Linked DNA regions of Arabidopsis thaliana. The protein of the gene in region 2 interacts with the protein of the main gene of each other region in a pairwise test. Each region holds a gene or a part of one and is shown on either strand. Other genes may lie near its edges. The genes, in order: RABA1c and CRK2.

Evidence for each region.
Region 1: the proteins of CRK2 (region 2) and RABA1c interact in binary tests that used the Arabidopsis thaliana proteins (3 or more experiments, as listed by UniProt).

Annotation. Positions count from the first base shown.
Region 1 is NC_003076.8:18,553,473-18,563,069, reverse strand, and holds RABA1c (RAB GTPase homolog A1C), read right to left. Parts: upstream 4,011-9,597; 5' UTR 3,753-4,010; coding exon 3,532-3,752; intron 2,861-3,531; coding exon 2,431-2,860; 3' UTR 2,125-2,430; downstream 1-2,124. Other genes in the region: AT5G45760 (Transducin/WD40 repeat-like superfamily protein), read right to left, coding at 65-154, 235-659, 748-825, 896-938, 1,035-1,091, 1,194-1,253, 1,339-1,401, 1,491-1,552 and 2 more; AT5G45740 (Ubiquitin domain-containing protein), read left to right, coding at 4,973-5,015, 5,621-5,743, 5,827-5,946, 6,025-6,095; AT5G45730 (Cysteine/Histidine-rich C1 domain family protein), read right to left, coding at 9,412-9,597. UniProt on the Arabidopsis thaliana protein: Intracellular vesicle trafficking and protein transport.
Region 2 is NC_003070.9:26,583,324-26,592,920, forward strand, and holds CRK2 (cysteine-rich RLK (RECEPTOR-like protein kinase) 2), read right to left. Parts: upstream 4,306-9,597; 5' UTR 4,012-4,305; coding exon 3,243-4,011; intron 3,169-3,242; coding exon 3,055-3,168; intron 2,974-3,054; coding exon 2,834-2,973; intron 2,747-2,833; coding exon 2,536-2,746; intron 2,442-2,535; coding exon 2,207-2,441; intron 2,125-2,206; coding exon 1,974-2,124; intron 1,895-1,973; coding exon 1,565-1,894; 3' UTR 1,406-1,564; downstream 1-1,405. Other genes in the region: CRK3 (cysteine-rich RLK (RECEPTOR-like protein kinase) 3), read right to left, coding at 5,427-5,759, 5,845-5,989, 6,079-6,313, 6,407-6,617, 6,712-6,851, 6,995-7,108, 7,189-7,577, 7,683-8,056.

The DNA.
Region 1 (9,597 bases), on a different chromosome or scaffold from region 2:
GACTAATAACAATGTCAAAAAGGATGAAGCTTTTAGACTATTTTTATGGACCCATCAGGCCTATTTAAGAGATTGAGTAAACCTTAACTACTCTTGTTGTGTCACACACTACAAGATTCTCAGAATCAGATTGATTCGTGCAAAGCCAATTCACCTGTTTAAGAAACACCAACAAATGTTCAGAATCAGACAAAAGAGAAAAGAGCAAAAAGAACAATGTGAGCTTTTAGTTACCTTCTTGCTTAGGTTAATATTCAAATGGAGGAGATCACTGTTATTGTTGTTGTTGTTTGGATCAAGACATTTAAAGCAATCCCAGATTTTGACTGTTTTATCATTACCACCAGAGATTAAGAATCTACCTTTCTCCTGAAACAGAGAAAAGGCTACACAAGAAACAGCAGAATTGTGTCCACCAACAGAGTAGTCTAAACAAACCCTTTTGACCACATTGTTGCTGCTGCTGCTGCTACTTCCTTTTGATGATGTTCCTTTTCGGGAAAGTTCTGATTCGATATTGATCAAATTGACAATTCCATCACCTCTAGCAACCGCACATATCTTGTCTAACTTATCAACCATGTCCATTTCCGGTATTGCTATTGAGTGAACAAACGCAGGGTTTAGGCATTGTCCCGAGTTATTATTTGTATCAGATCCTGAAAGATTACAGAAATGACTTGCAAAATCAGATTTGTTGCATATATATATGGCTAAAGAAACCAGAATTAGTGGCATAGTCTTTACCAAAGTCTATAATCTTTTGCGAGCGACCTTTTGAGAAATCCCATAAAACAAGCTTTGAATCAAGTCCACCAGTTATAACTGAAAGAAATTAGACACTTTAGAAGAGATGTGTATATATAATAACAAATCACAATAAGATATTAGTTACCTTCCCAAGGTCTCCATGGAATGAATTGTACAGAACTACATATCTTATATGTCTCATTAAGGTGTTGATTTGAGACATTTTTTCGAGGCTAGTAGAGTTTCATAGACGAGAATGGGTAAAAAAAACGAAGTAAGGATACACTTGTGTGACCAGCTCTAAGGGTTTTATAAAGGCATTTCTGACCAAGGTCGATGATCTGTGTACAAGCAAACTAATCAAACCGAGAACCGTCCCACCAAAATTCATGTTTATGTAATCTTTAAGAGTTTTAAGTATTAAGAACAACTATTGAGTGTACCTTAACATCGCCGGAATCATCTGCAGAAGCAAGAAAAGACGACCTTCCGTTACATACTACCTTTAACAAATCAAAAGATGTCAACATCAATGTCATAGGTAAATATGATAACTTTTTCGAAAAGTCGAGTTTTTAGTATCTCTACCTGGTTAACTTCATCTTTGTTGTAATTGTAACTCTCTAATGGCTTCCAAGAAGTAGCACTTAGCTATGAAATTGCATAAAGAGAGAAGCTTTAAAACTAAGTGAAGGATATGGTTATAGTTAGTTAATCAAAGTTTGAACATTTTAAATTACCGTATGAACATCGAAAGACTTGATTTCGTTTCCACAAGAAGCATAGAGAATGTTCTCATTACCTGAAAAATCAAATAAAAGTTATCACCAAATTGCAACAAAGAGAAGAAATTGAAAGAGAGAGAAACAGACAAAACACAAAGAGACAAAACCTGTCTTGAAACAAAGAGATGAAACTGGTTCTGTTCCAACATCGATGATGAATTGAACATCTTTACATCGCAAATCAAACCAGCAAATGCAACCATCCTATAATCGTATGATCGGAAAACTATGAATCTTGCGAAGTAACTACAATAACGAAACCTAAATTCATCGGAAAAAAGAGGTTTGAATTAGAGATTAAGAAACCTCGCCGGAAGTGAGAACAATTCCAGGCCGGTCACGAGAAGCTATACAACAAGTGGCAGTTGATTTGTGGCCTCTCAGCTTCCTTGGCTCTTCCATTGCCGTAGCCATAACTGTGAGTGAGAGTTTCTCCGGCGATTGCTCAGTTTCAAGCTCTAAATTGAGCTAAAAAAGGCTAACCGAAACAAACCAAAACTAAACCGGATATTTTGGTAATCCTTCGGTTTTGTACCAAAAAAATCGAAACAACAAAATTCCAACCTAACAGAAATCGATTTTAGTACCACTTAACCAAAATGAACCGATACGGTGAAACGAAATCAAACCGAAAATTATGTTCAACCAAACTGAAATCATCAAAGGCAGAAACTATTTTTATCTTTTCTTTTCAACAATTCTATTGTTTGAGATAAATATAATTTAGGGTTCTGAAAATTTGACATAGCATTTTCAAACAATAACATTGATAGATCAGATAAATAACAGAAATACACCAAATGGGCATTACTCAACCTAAAAGCAATCTTCATATTCGATAGAACCGTTAACAAAAACCGATCCTTAGGTTGTTAACAATAATTCTACTCTCTGATTAGTTCGAGCAGCATCCACCTTTCTTCACAGCTGAAACATCTTTACCGATATCGATCTTGTCTCCTTTCGATGGAACATTAGCGGATTCGCTCGCAGCTTCCATCGCCTTCTTGCTCACAATGTGGTGAATCTGAGTGAGGACTTCGGCGAAAGCGTTCTCAACATTGGTGGCTTCGAGAGCCGAGGTTTCCATGAAGTAGAGAGATTCTTTCTCGGCGAATGACTTAGCATCTTCAGTCTGAACAGCCACGAGATGGCGAAGGTCAGATTTGTTGCCCACGAGCATGACTACAATGTTTGGATCAGTGTGGTTTCTGAGTTCTTTCAGCCAAGTCTCAACGTTTTCAAATGTTGAGTGTCGGGTTACATCGTAGACAAGAAGCGCTCCAACAGCTCCTCGGTAATACGCACTAGTGATGGCTCGGTACCTATTGAAACAAAGTCAACGAAACAGAGAATTAAGTTAACCGAAACATCAGGAACACAAAAAAGGCAAGAAGCTTTACAGTTTCGAATTCAGACTATGCACGCTTTACAAAACTGATCAGAGAAATGGAGAATAGCAAATCATACAAAGCAAGAAGCTTTTCAATTTTGAAATTAAGACCAAGTAAAAGCTTCAAATGAAAGTTTAAGAATCCAACTAAAACCAATCAAGCTCTCTTACATAAATAAACTAAGCAAAAACAACAGAAGAAATCGATAATGATTGAAGAATCTTAGGTGAAATCTGAGAAAGAAGAGCTAAGAATCGTAGAAATGAAGTTACTGAAACCAATCAAGCTCTCTCACATAAACCTAAAATAGCAAAAACAACAGAAGAAATTTGATAAAGCTGATAACTTTATAATCATAATCATAGGATTCTCCTATCTTACACAAAACCCAAGTTGTCAAAATCACATACTAATCCAGATCTCTTCTTATAAAAGTGATCAATACCAATGGATCTAAATCAATTGATACAGATCTAACCTAAGCTGAAAATTTACTGTCTTTGGCAACCAAACAAAACCATAAACCCCAAAACTTCAATCAAAATGTTCTAATATAAGAAACCAGATCGAGAAATGAACAATGTGGTTGAAAAAGATGAGACCTTTCTTGACCAGCAGTATCCCAAATCTGAGCTTTGATGACTTTATCATCAACATTCAAACTCCGAGTCGCGAACTCGACCCCGATCGTGGATTTTGACTCGAGACTAAACTCGTTCTTCGTGAATCGTGAAAGCAAATTGGATTTGCCCACACCTGAATCACCTATCAGAACAACCTTGAATAGGTAATCGTATTCATCATCTGCTCTGTAACCCGCCATTGATTCTCTCCTTCAAAGCTTTTAACTTTACTCCTTCAGATTCGAGAAAACAAAACAAAGAGAGAGATAAAAATGGGTCCTTCTTTTCAAAATGAAAAACCCAAATGAGATTTGAAACTTGTTGCTCTTTTTTCCTTAGATTTTGTTTTGAAAATTTTTTCGATTTCAACAGAGAAAGACGCGGAATTGGAAAATATCAAACGAGAAAGACAAAGGACTTGTGTACTGTCTTTATCACAAAGAAATCTAACATTTGTGTGGCCAAATTTACTAAACTGCCCTGTTAACGCGTTCTGATCTATTACCTTGCTCGCTTCGATAAAGACGAGGACGTATTCGTCAATTCACATTTGTCTTTATCTTTTATGTTTTTCTAAACTGATTAAAATGATAAAAAAGAATGCGTCTGCCGGGAGTCGAACCCGGGTCTATTGCTTGGAAGGCAATTATCCTAACCGTTGGACTACAGACGCTGACGATTAATTCAAACAGATATAATATACTAATCCAGAATAATATGACGTGGCAAGTAAAGTGACTATAAATAAAATCGGGGAGATCTGTTTTCACTTTCTTCTCTCTAACAAACTAAGGCCTTGAATGGTACTAGTTTTTAAAGTTGATTTTGGCTTTTGATTTTACAAAATCCACTTTTTCATCCATTCATGATTTTGTAAAAAGTTAATTTCCTAAATTATAGGGAATTCAAAATTTAAAAGATTCTAGTCATTTGTTCTTAAAATCCAAAATTCACTTTTTTGGGATTTTCAACAAATTCTATCGTAAACTCTTTTTTTTTTGTTTTTAAAAATAAAAATAAAGTTTTAAATAAATAATTTTAAAACGTTTCTAAATAATAATTATATAAAAATCAAAAACTAGAAAAGTTACCATTTAAGATTTTGCAAAATCTAAAATCTCCACCAAAATCAAAAACTCATAAAATCAAAAACAAAAAACCAAAAGCCACAATCCAAAATCCAAAAACCCACCAAAATCAACAAAACATTCATGGCCTAATTTGGCAGTCAAAACAGAATTTGACCTTGAAGACGACTCTTGCAGACTTCTCCGGCGATTCTCCCGCCGTGAAACTCTTATCGGCGGCTATCTTTCTCCGTTTCGTTCCCGACGGTCGAGTTTGTACTGGCATTTACTTTACTTGTTCGAAGCGACTTCCAATTTTCACCTAATCAAACGCGACTCTCAACGGTTCGAGAATGGGTTGTATCGGATCTTCTCAGGCCAGAAATGAAGGCGGAGGTTAGTGGAATCGATACTCTCTTAAACCTTTAATTCCGCACTCCGTTTGTCTCGCTGAATTTGTTCTCAGAATTTGGGCTACGATTTATACTTGTGTTGTAATGTTTTGATTCTTGGTGATAGTTCTAGTTTTGAGGTGTTAACATGAACTAATCTTGCAAATGTTATGATTCTTGGAGTGATTTCGAAGGAAATATCAGTTTATTGTGGTGTTGACATGTTTGTGATTCGTTAAAGATTCCAAATTTTGAAGCTCAGAATTAGTTCAGCAGAGAATTAGAATGCTCTTCAACATTGTTTCTACTGCTCAGAATTAGAATGTTGGATCAGAGAAAGTTGTTATCGATGGTATGATTGAAATGAAATGGCCGTTTACTAATGTTATAACATTCCATTTTTACCAAGAAAAATTGTTCTGTGAACAATAGACAATATAATCTGATTCGTTCTGCCTTATACTGTATTTGTTGTCTTGATGAAATTGAAACTGTGATGATCTTCTGAAGTAGATGGCTATAATATTGGTGTTACTGAAAGAACTGTTTTAAAATTGGTGGTAGTTTATATTGTATCATTCTCTTATGAGTTTTGTACGTTTGACACAGCAAAAAGGAAGAAAATCATGAAACCTAAACCGTGGGCACATACTGAGCCAATCACAAGGGCACAACTTACGAACATGCGTGAGGAATTTTGGGACACCTCTCCACACTATGGTGGTCAAAGAGGTATATATATATCTCTCTTTCTTGTAATCTGCTGCATCGCACTATGTACATTTGGAAACTGAGCGAAATTTACTGAAAACCAGAGATATGGGAAGCACTTCGAGCTGCTGCTGAAGCTGACTTGAAACTAGCACAAACTATTGTTGACAGTGCAGGCGTGATTGTTCAGAACCGTGACCTAACATTGTGCTGGGATGAAAGAGGTTTGTAATACACAATTCTGATTCGTTTCTCTCGTTTCTTGTTTTGTTACCTTAATGACTTGCTCTTATTCAATGCAGGTGCTAGATATGAGCTTCCTAGGTACGTTCTAAGTGAGCCCACGAATCTGATTCGAGAGGAAGGACAGTAACTTCCAAGAACATTGACACAATACTTAGTAAGTAGTAGAAGAGGACTAGAAGTTGAAGTAAGTCTCTCATATTCAATACTTTTTGCAATTGATAGTGAATAGAAACACGGTATATTAGTAGGAGACACTCTCTGTATAGTTACTGGAATCTAAAGTGAGAGATGGTGGTTGAGGTACAAATGTACAGAGCCAAGAGTTGTGAACTTTTGTGGTCAAAATGATCTTATGAAGTCTTTTTGACAACCAGGGGCGGATCTACGTTGTGGGTAGGTAGGGCACGTGCCCTACACAAGGTTTATAAAGTTTATCTTGGAATACAACTGATATATTTGAAGCTAGCGTTAGTGGTTGTGTCCCCACACTCTTTCAATCCGTGCTTGGGTTCGAGTCTAGGTAGCAGATACCTTTTTTTTTTTAACATTGTCTTTTTCTTCTACCACAAACATTAATTTGAATTATCTAATGTTACACTTAGCTCAAACTTCCTTATTTAGTTAAAGTTTATGTTGATACTAGATAAGGCCCGCCTATTTAGGCGGGTGTACCGAAAATTTTCAAATACTTGAACGGGTCTAAACTTCAAAACCCGAAAAACTCGAACCCGAACCCGAATAGGTATCCAAACATATTTCAAATATAAGTATATATTAGTTATATTTACACTTATATATAGAAAATATTAGGATTTTTTGGATATTTTAGTTATTTTTGTGTCTTTTTAGATATATTCAAGCAAAACTACTGGTGTTGTTTTGAGAATTTTTGAAATTTTGAAGTAATTTAATAGATTTGCACACAAAATTTGATATTTCAATATATAAATAAACTCGAATCCGAACCCGAACCCGACCCGAAATCTTAAACTACCCGAACGGGTCCTAAACTTCTAAACCCGAAAACCCTAACCCGAAATACCCGACCCGAATACCCAAACGCCCAGGGCTAATAATTAATAGAAAAAAGAAATCCACAAAAATATTTAGAAACCAAACATTGTTGAAAATATATTTTCTATATATAGCGTAATCTCGTAAGTTAATTTTACATCATGCAAATTAATATTAACTGAGTTAAAATTAATAAATGAAAATAATTGAAAAGTTAAATCCTGTAAGCTAAGCTATTTTTCTCAAAATGTTCTATTTTCACTTATGACTAGATGAATTCCCACGCTACGCGTGGGTTTGTTTTGAAAATTCTTTAGATAAAAATATGTTAATTATTTTTGTCGCTAATTTATGTTTATTTTTTGTTTGTTATTTTATACTTAGTAAAATTAGACTCATCTTATGTACTTACATTTTTATTGTTAGATTCATTTTTGACTCTAAATATCAATTTTTATATATTTTCATGTATAATCTGATTATTTTTATATCCAAGATTCTAAAATTTGTTCATTATCATGAATACACACAACAAGAATATAAGATATTTTGATATCAAGAGTTTTCGTATGAAAAAAAAAGAAGCAAAAATTAAAGAGTTATTTTAGTAACACTTTTTAGATTTTATACTATTGCATATAGCCGTAAGAGACAAATGGATTTGTTTTGAATTTTGTGGTATGTTTAACGTCTCAAAAGTCTATTACTTGAAAATATTGAATGTCAATGTTACGAACTTACCTAAAGATACAAAAATGAAAATACATAATTTCATATGATAAGATATGAACCATAACGTAATAATAATTAAAAAAATCAAGGTAAAATAACTACACTAATATTAGGTAGCAAACAAATAAACTACAACACAAACAACTATTTAGTCATTATAGAGTGATGACCATTGACCATTAAATTTTTTTAAAATATAAAATAATAAAAGTAAAATAAAAGTAGTAAATGATTTATTTAAATAAGTAATTTTATTTTTATTTATATTTTGAAAAAATCATTTAAGAAATGAATTAATGGAGGATTTAACACAATATGAGACTTTTGATTTTCTCTCAATTAATTTTGCTAATTTTAATTTAATCAATATTAAATGACACATGTTATTTTCTTGTGTGATGATGTGTCACCCATATGGAGAGAGTTGGCCAACTTTCATATATATGATTACATGAGTTAAAGACAAATTTGTTAATTTTTCTTTTGTTGAATAAATGTCCCAAAACCTTAAATTACCCGAACGGGTCCTAAACTTCTAAACCCGAAAACTCGAACCCTAAATACCCGACCCGAATACCCAAACGCCTAGGGCTAATAATTAATATAAAAAAAAAAATCCACAAAAATATTTAGAAACCAAACATTGTTGAAAATATATTTTCTATATATGCCGTAATCTCGTAAGTTAATTTTACATCATGCAAATTAATATTAAATGAGTTAAAATTAATAAATAAAAATAATTGAAAAGTTAAATCCTGTAAGCTAAGCTATTTTTCTCAAAATGTTCTATTTTCACTTATGATTACATGAGTTAAAGACAAATTTGTTAATTTTCCTTTTGTTGAATAAATGTTAATTGTTTATAAATATATAGACATATAAATTAGTATATGTAAATTTGTTTACTTTTTAAGATTTTCTATTTTCTTAGAGAATTAAAAAGTTAAATTTTGAATGACACATGTAAACATCTGATCGTTTGACTTGACACGTGGCACAATCCTATGAGTTAGCAACTTTGAAAACCATACTTTATATAATAAGATTTCTTTGTGATCTGATTAAATATTATTTGTGTTATATCTTAAATGTTAATATATATATGAAAATAATTACGAAATTCTATATTCATGTTATATATACCTACATAAATTGTAAAAATTAAATTTTATGTATAATATTTTTGATAAATATATATTAAAAAAATAGTGCCCCAGACTATATATTTCTCTAGATCCGCTATTGTTGACAACTATCTTATGCAATGTATATATACACACACACAACTATAAAATTTGCAGGAATACGAATAGGCATCATATATGCTCCATCACTCTTTCTCTTACATGACTAATAAATTACTTGAGACAAAAGGGTCGCTTAAATATTTTGGAGCTTTGATTAGGATTTGCATACATGAAACTTAAAGGAACTGAAGATAATCATTCCTCTATTGTTATTATTATTAAAAAAAAACTGCATTACATAGAAGCAAATAGATCCTATTTATAAACCCCTCACACTGGTTTCTACAGGATCCGAAAACAAATTAACTCAGATTCTAGAAGAATCCCAAATACATGAAAAGAAAGAAAATAGGAGAAAGAAAAGATACAGAAGATATCAAGCAAACGTAAATATACTCTGATACATCATCATATAGCTTCCCCTTGTGGATCTTTCAGACATACTCATTACTCACAGTGAACTTTACTATACCACTCCTCCCAACGGTCGTGGCCTCGGTATGCACACTTTCTTGAACAAGCGTATACAACAGTTGAATCTGAATATGCAATACCCTTTAGAAAGAAAGGGAACATGCAACGCTTTTCACAGACTATGCAAATAGGTCTAGTCATACCATGATTGGGAACTAG
Region 2 (9,597 bases):
GTAGCAAAGAAAGCCCAATGAAAAAAGCCCATTCGAAGACCACCGTGAACTCGTCTGAAAAGCCCTTAGTTGCTGCTGCGTCTTTGTTGCAACTCCTCCGAAATTCTCCGTCTTCTTCATTCGTTTTTGACTCTTCTCTATACTTGTCGTCTCCTATCATCGCAATTCATCTTCCCCCGTTTGGTGTGTTAAACCGGAGAAATTTGGAGTTTCGCCGGAATCTTCCTCTGTCTATTGTATAATTTCCTCTGTCTTTGATCAAAAGTTGATCGTACTTGGATTCCCGATCTCTTCCTTCTAGATTAGGTCCTGGAATCGTCTTCTTAGGTGCTCCTCGCTTTCACTGCCCCCGATCTCTTCCTTCTCAATTAGGTCAAGAAAGAGAGGACGTGAGAGAATCAATTACGATTCTGAGATGATGAACTCGAGGATTACATGGATCATCATCAAGCGAACAGGTATGAAAAGATGGGAACGATGAATGATTTTGGTTTCTCGAAGAAGAAGGACGTGAGAATAGAGCGTATTTTGATTTCTCATGAATGAAGAAGAAGAGAATGCGTGATCTAAGTGTGTGTATTTATAAGGATGGTTTTTTTTTGGTTTATTGTTAATCTAACCGTTGGGGATTTGATATTGTAGAGGAAATCTAAATTAGATTCGATTTCCAGTTACGAATAATTATATCAATCTAACCAAAAAGGAAGTTACGTTTTGGTTGAAACTTTTTTTCGATATAACGTTTACAAAGAATCATCTTTTTCGCTCACAAAATATTATATATCAAAAGGTAAGAGAGAACATGAATGATGATCAATTTAAGAAGTTGAATAATTTCAACTCCATTGCTACTTTTATTCTAAATGGTTTCTTTGTATACAAAAATTTGTCTGTTCCTAACATATGTTGTGGTGGTTGCTACAGGTAGTCTTGGTTTGTGGAGCAGAAGCCAGTTTCTGAGGACTTGACAAATACAACACACGTTGACATCAACCTACCAATGCTGCTCTATTTGTCCAGAGAGAAGCCCGCCTGGTTCTGAGATCCCGTACAAGAAAGCAGGAGCACATAGTTTCTAAGTTCTGATCTATGTGTCCAGATAGAAGCAGCCTGGTTCTGAGATCACAACAAGAAAGCAGGAGCACAAACAACAACAAAGCTTGAGCTCGAGTACCTACCTTAAACTGCTGCATTGAACCACCAATCTTATATGTTTGCAAGTCTGGTGTGGATGAGGATAACATTTTTTTGAAGATGGCATATGTTGGGAAATTCTCAGACATTTCATTCTTTGTTTCTGTTGTCTTCTCTCTTGCAAACTCGCAAGTCCGTTTATAAGCTTGCAAACTATTAAAGATAAATGTTTGAAGCTATGGGTTGGTTGAAGAAATCGCACCTAGAGCTTGAATTATTGAGTACTTTTTTTTTGTTATCAAGTATGATACATAAGATATAACTTACCTATACTATCTAGCTTCTCTCACTGGTTTATACACAAAATTTTAGTTTCTGCTCAAAGATCAAAGATTTTGTATTCTCTTCTTCTTATACACTTCTTCAAAGCTCATCTACCATAAAAGGAACTTTGTGAGACAGTGGCAAGAGATGCACAACCAGCTGAATCACCATCAGAACCATCTCGAAGTTCCATGACTCTTTCATCCATAAACGGAGGATTACTCGGCAATGGCAAGACCTCCTCTTTGTTCTTTAGCATATGTAATAACTTAGACATCGGTGGTCTTAGCGAAGGGATCTCTTGAGTGCACAATAGCCCTATTTGAACAACTCTTGCTATCTCTTTCTTGATGATGTGACTGTCATACTGACTCTTCCAATCGAGGTTTGGATCATATATTTTCTCCAACTCTCCTGACTGAAAATGCTTCCATGCCTTCAATAAAAAACATAACACCACAATTAGTTTGAGAAGTGAAACCTGCAGACCCATAGACAAAATATGTCTAACTTACCTCTGTGATCAAACTGTCTGAGTAATCTGACATTTTGCTTTTGGTGTTCTGTTTTCCAGTTACAATCTCTAGTACAAGAACTCCAAAGCTGTAAACGTCTACCATCTCTGTTAGCTGACCATGTGCTAAGTACTCCGGAGCCATATAACCTCTGCAGTTTCACAAGTATTGGATCAGCTCAAACATTCATATCTTTTTGAAGAAATGGTACATTTTTCTGAATATATACTTACAAGGTCCCTGCAATGGCAGTGCTAATATGGCTCTTATCGTCCTGGAATGATCTCGCCAGACCAAAATCGGCGATTTTAGCTTGAAGCTTTGAATCTAGCAGAATATTACTTGCTTTTATGTCTCTGTGAATAATTTTCACAGACGACTGCTCATGCAGATACACCAATCCTTCAGCGGTTCCAACGATGATCGTGTATCTTCTCTGCCAGTCTAATGTTTTCCCTCTGTTCACGTCTGCAAAAGTAATAATGAAGACAGGTTTAGTGTGCTGCTGCATTCAAGATTCAACAATAAAAACTCATCATATAGTATTATTAGTAGTAGTTACCAAAGATGAATCGATCAAGGCTCTTGTTCTGAAGGTATTCATAGACAAGGAGACTCTCTGGTCCTGAGCAGCTGCAACCAAGCAGCCTAACAAGGTTCTTATGTTCAACAGTGCTGATCATGTTGACTTCATTGTAGAAATCGGTTGCTCTATGTCTGTTGTTAAAGAATAACCGCTTCACAGCGATATCTCTTCCGTCTGGAAGAACCCCCTAAACAAGCCAGAGAGATACCACTATATCACTCATTTGCTTTACAGGAAGGTATAGAAAGAGAGACATGATCATACACACACATACCTTATAGACAGTTCCAAATCCGCCTTGTCCAAGCTTGTTCGCGTTGTCAAAAGAACCTGTGGCTTTCTCTAGTGTTGAGTATTTGAAATTCAAGCTACTGTCTTTTAGTGTTTTCGCCATTTTCTCAACATCTTTTGATCCTGTTAAGCACCAAAGATCTCGGTTAAAAACACTCAATCCTTCTTAAACCAATTCATCACAAATCAAGAAACTAATCTTACCTCTTCTCTTCCTCTTTATGGTCCGACGTTTGCAGATATAAACACTTACTGCTACTCCAATCATGAAGACAACCACAGAGCTAAGTACTGACACCACAATCACTACCACAGAGCCTGCAAAAACAATTACTTATGACCATCAAGCGAATGAGATTCTATAGAAAGCATGAATCTTTTTATTGTGTTACCTCTTGATCTTCCGTTTCTTGGTATCTTATTCAAGAAATCTTGATCAGAGTACCGAAGGAAACATCCAGTGTGAAGCGCACGTCCTTCTGACCATGGCAAACATCCTTTAACCACAGAAGCAGAGGCATTCTCCAAACACTGTTTACAAGAATCAGGACTCAAAGTTCTCCAACAATTCGCCAACACAAACGCTGATTCAGATTCAGATTCACCCGCCTTTGCAGACGCACGAGCGTACCCTCCAGTCCCAGAAGCCTCAGTAACAGCATTTCTCAGCCCTTGTCTCACCGCATCACCAAAAGTCTTATTCTTTCTCGTCGTGTTTCCACATACGATGCTATCTTCAGGTCCTTTGTATTCATTATAGAAACTATAATTCTCAGCTCTCATAAAACATCCATCAAGAAAGATTCTACCTCCGTTCTGAGGATAACACTGCGGAAGCATCGTCCTTGCTTCCGCGTAACAGAGTACACAATCGTTTAAAGGAAGATCACCATAGCACTGCGCAAGACCATAGTTAGCGTCTGGTCCTGTACCGGTGAGAGCAACTCCAAAACCGGAAGTTTGTACTTGTGTGCTGATTTTCTCCATTGTGGCTACGAAATTTGGGACATAAGCGGTTTCGTTGTGCTCAAGCAAAGGTGAGCAAGTGACTTTAACGGCTCTAGCCCTTGCGTCTCCGGTGATTTGACGGAGTGATGAAAGAAGAAACATCAAGAGACATGGAAGGTACAGAGGAAGGATATGGACAGGTTCTTTCTTCATTTTGTTTTGTTTGATTGAGAAAGAGATCTCCTTTTTTTATTCCCTCATCAAGGGTTTTGTGTTCTGTTTCAAGTTGTGAAGAAAGAAGAAGCAGAGAGATTAAGAATTGGAGATGATGAAATTGAAGAATTTTCAACTGCTTGACTTTGATGATATTGGTTTGTTAGAGTCAACCAAATTTGCTGTCTTTCTCTCTCTCTCTCTACTGGTTTAGTCAAAAAGTTAATAAAAAAAATTGATAATGGAGATTGTTGGATTTCTTCTTAGTCTTGAATTCACACTTGGAAACCAAACCAGCTCGATCATGTTGTTGAAGTCGTTGTCTTCATTCAAATATTTGTCGTTTTCATAAACCTAAAAACCAGTGGACTAATAATTAATAGAGCTTATCTTATGTGGAGCCGGTTCGGTTTAATTGGATAAATCTCTTTACCGGTATCATGAAAAATTCAATTTTCTGATTAGTTAAAGAAAAAAGAAAACGTCACATATGCGTAGTGTTTAGTAAGATGACATTCAAGAAAATGGATAAAGTGACGTTAGACTACTTTAAATAAAGAAATAGGTTTGTTGGGTTGATTTTTTTTTTGTCAATTTGTTGGGTTGATTTAGTAGGCCTAGTTGGTATAGTACAATAAAAGTTGTACAAATAATAAAAATATATATAACAAAATACCATTTACATGTTGCCATGGTCAAAGTTTTATTCAAGATCAATTGCAAAGAAAAATGAGAAGTAGTTGGACATTCAATTCTAAAAATGTTAAATCTAGTTGGCTATAATAAAGACATATGTAGTATATGTGTTTCTATCTAGTAGTCTCCTATGGCTTCCTTGAAAGAAAACAAAAACACTGATAAAAAGTCCTTGATTCGAATCCACTTGTGCAAAAATTAGGAGATCATGATCCAAACTTTGCGGTAATAAATTTAGTGAATTTTTAGTGATTTGATTTTTTTCTTGTGTACATTTAATATGTTTCATATTTTGATTCTTAGGTAAATATCCTTATGGCATTATTTGGTTTTACTCGAATTTCTTTGCATTTGTGGTTGCATTTTTCTATTTAAATATGACATTTACTCTTTCTCTTTTTGTAAAGTTAAAACGAGAACAAACACAAAAACCGCTTACTAATATACAAAGCTACTCAAAATTAACACACAAAATAAAACTACTGAACCGTAAACCGAATCACTACAATCAAAACCGAGGCTAAACCGGAATCTGTCCCCGTCATGTAAGCTCTACATTGTTCACTTCCTAGCTTCTATGACATTGTCGTGGCACATAAGTAACCCTCAGTTCCTAGCTAACACACGATTAATTGGCATCTCAATTTTTGTACATATGACACAAGATGATTCAGAATCCACACGAAAGGATACTGATATATCTAACACGATCTAAAACCTCATCTAGGTTCAAAGAAACTCGAACCCTCGGTTATGTAGTCACTCCTTGATCCTGAAGAATTAGACTGATTCGTCGTGGGAGTCATCATCATCTTTCTCATCTCTACTACACTTCCTGGATTCAGAAACGGTGGTTGCGTCGGCGTATGAATCTCCAAACTCCCTTTCATCATTTTCACAACCACAGACATCGCAGGCCGCTGATCAAACGCTGCTTGAACACAGAGAAGCCCAATTTGAAGTAGCCGTGACGCTTCTATCTTGTTGAAGTTATCACCTAAGATTGGATCCACTGCCTCTTCCACATTGCTTGTTCTGTACAGACTCCATACCTAAAATATGTTTTCAAGATTCAAGAAAAAGGATTTGATCTAAAATCAAGAAAATGTTTGAACTACTTGTAGAGAGTTAGTTTACCGATTGTAGGATCGAACCAGCGTCTTGTACGAAGGCATTGTTACGTTTTCCGGTTATAACTTCAATCATAAGAACTCCAAAACTATAAACGTCTGCTTTCTCAGTTAGTTTTCCTCGTACTACATATTCTGGTGCCATGTAGCCTCTGTTTCCACAAGTAAGAATCTTCAGAAACAACACAAGAAACGGTAGAGAGAGATATTAAAGTTACAAAGATAAGTTTTGAGACTTTACAGTGTACCGGCGATGGCAGTGCTGATATGAGTCTTGTCCTCTGGGAACAATCTAGCCAATCCAAAATCAGCAATTCTTGGAGTAAAATCATCTTCCAAAAGGATATTACTCAGCTTAATATCTCTATGTATGATTCTAAGATTTGACTCCTCGTGAAGATACGCCATTCCTTCTGCTGTACCAAGTATAATCTTGAATCTCTTTGCCCAATTCAACGGTTGAACATCTTTTCTTACTGAACCAAAACAAAGCAACAAGAACAAGTCAATAAAAGATCCATCAAGACATGGTAACTGTAGTAAAAGGTTTAGGATTGACAAAAACAAACCGAAAAGATAGTCGTGGAGGCTTTGATTTGCAATGTATTCATAGACCAGAAGGCTCTCTGGTCCAGTTATGCTGCATCCCAAGAGCTTAACAAGGTTCTTGTGGTCTACTTGGCTTATTAGATTAACTTCGTTGAAGAAATGATCCACCCATTGCTTTGTGTTGAAGAACAGTCTCTTTACTGCAACAGTCTTACCATTAGTAAGAACTCCCTACTCCACAAAAAGGGCAAAGAGTTAACCAATTGAGAAGTAGGAACATTCCAACATGAAACTCTAGAAAATGTATAATAAGAACAGAACTTACCTTATAGACAGAGCCAGATCCTCCTTGTCCTAACTTATTTTTGTCGCTGAAGTAATCGGTAGCCCTCTCGAGATTCTCATAGGAGAAACAGAGATTAGATTTGTTCGCAAGCATGAATAATGACCCTAGTTGCTTCTTCTCTACATTACATTACACACACACACACACAAATATCTGTTAAGATCAAGACTTCACTATTATAACCACTCAAACTCTATGACTAATCTTGAAAACTAAGCTATTTCTGGAACATAAATCTTAACTAATTCTTTATGGAACAAACCTCTTTGCTTCTTGGCGTGTCTCTTTTTAAGCAAGAAACCAGCGGCAGAGACCAACAGAACAAAAGCCACAACCGAAGATGTCACCGCCAAAATCACACCCAAATGGTTATGACCTGATCAACAAGAATGTTGCTAAATAAATGTTACAAACATATACTAAATTTAAATCATATTTCAAGCTTATTCTACTTACCACCATTACCATCTGATGTAGAATTTCCAGAATTGTTATAAAACTTTTGAGTAGAAAACCTCATATAGCAACCAGCACTAAGAACTCGACCTTCTTCATTAACCAAACAAGAACCAATCCTCACTGAAGCTTTACTCAAACACTCAACACAACCACTTCTATTAAGAGTCTCCCAACACTGAGCCAGACCATGAACCGTCACGTTATGTCTATCCACAAAACCAGCATAGAATCCACCATTTCTCACCGCCTCCACACTCATGTTCTTAACCAACTCTGCAGCGTTATCCCGAAATACCGTCCGGTTTACTCCGGTAATCTCCTTTGGAGCACAAACTGTCCGGTCTTGCAAGCTTAACGTCTCGTTATAGAAATTGTAGTCATCGTACCTAAAACAAAGATACAACAATCGATTATAACCAAATGCAAGAATCAATCAAACCATAAAGTTAAGATTTTTATCGGATTGAAATGAGTGTGAGAGAGAAACAAACCTGATGTAGCAACCATCTGAGAAGACTTGACCACCACGAGTACCTTTTTGGAAAGGTAAGCAACGAGGAACTTTAGCTTTGATCTGAGCGAAACACAAGTCGCAATCTTTCTTATCAAGATCTTTTATACACTCTCCGTAAGCGTAGACGGTTAAGTTTCCGGTACCGTTGACCACTTGTCCGTAACCTTTAGCTTCCACTAGTGGAGAGACCGCGTCCATGGCGGCGAGGAAATTGGTGACGAAGAGACTTCTCTGTTGCGGCGTCGTTGTTCTGTTGTTGCATATCTGAGCCACTGTGTCTCCTCTCGAGTCTGAAACAGAAGGGCTTATAAACAAACCCAGAATAAGAAGAAGAAGAGTCAGAATCGGCATCTGGGTTTAGTGGTTAAGCTTTTGAAATTGAACAAGAAAGCATTTGTGTAAGGTTTTTGATCTTTGCTCTGTTTTCTTTTTCTTCTCTCTTGAAATGGATTGGGTGATTGAGAATCAAGAAGGAGACACGATCGGGAAGTTGAAATTGAAATTCTTAGATTTTGGTTGTTGGGTCAACAAAAGAAGAAAACTTGGAAAATTTTCCAGTTTGAGAGTTTTTCCAATTGTAAGAGAAGTCAAAGAGTGGACTTTTGTCTTCTTACGATTCAACGAAAGATACCGATCGCATTGGGGTATTGAAAGCAGAAAACGACGCCGTGTGGGAGTTATGTTCTGTTTTAATGCACGGGGCATCATGACGTCATTGCTTTTGTCACTTTTTTGTATGTTCTGTTTTGTCACCCACAATGCGGAACATAGAAAAAACAAGGATTTCTGTTACGGTTATATAAGTTATACAATCGTTGGGTAGTTGCCAATTTGCAATTCGTATTTACTAGGCATGGAACTTTAAACAGAATAGAGAATGTCGAACCAGACCGAGATTTTCCGAATTTCGATTTAGGGAATTGAGCTAAGTCACTAACGGTAAAGTCTATTTTAGTAACCGTTAACCGTTCAGTTCATAATAAACTTGTATATTTATCGATTAACCATTCGGTTCGAGTGTTTGAACTGATCAAAACCAGTAAACGATAAACATATAACCTCTAAAGTTCATTATATCTAGCCATCGTCGGCCAGCCTCTTTGTCTTTTTCTTCTTACGTCGTAATAGTAAGAATATTTTACTAATTTGCACTGTCTGAAACTCTGAATAGTCCAACACAAACAAATTCATGAGTGATATGAAATTAAAAACAGATTTTGATCAATGCAAGAATCTTCTAAAGTTCGGAGTAATTTTCCGGATATTTCCTCTTTTACGTTTTTTTGTAGGAATAGTTTGAGAAAACAAGGCAACGTAATGGATAATGGCGTAAGTTCTCGTCTGCCGTATTGTGAAGGTCGTCTCTAAATCAAAGCAACTTCAAAGTCTTCAATTATTCTTTTTATTCTTTCTCCACCACAATTATCCATCGACAATCTTACTTTTATCAGCCATTTTATCTGAATTTGCCGCATATTTTGACTTACTTGTACATTCTGAAAATGACAGTTTTATTCCTGTCAAACTAATCAACCATCACTTTTTGAAAATTACGTTTTTGTGAACTAATGAAACAGTGTTTTGTTTCGTTATTTTTCAATCAGGCAGATAGATCTTAGAAAATAATTGTCTTAAAAATTTACATAAATTTGTGAAATTATTGGTACCAGATAATTTTCGGCGAATTTTATTTAGAAAAACGAAAATAATAGAAACCGATGGGTCCTCGACGTCTAGAAGCAAAGCGACCAACCCGTGACTATCAAAGTCAGCGTCAACTCCAAATATGAAATATCCAACCCATGCTTATTGTATTACTATATCATTGCATTAATATCTTATCGCAAAAACAAAATCCTTACATTGATTGAGATCTATTTCGAAGTCATGTC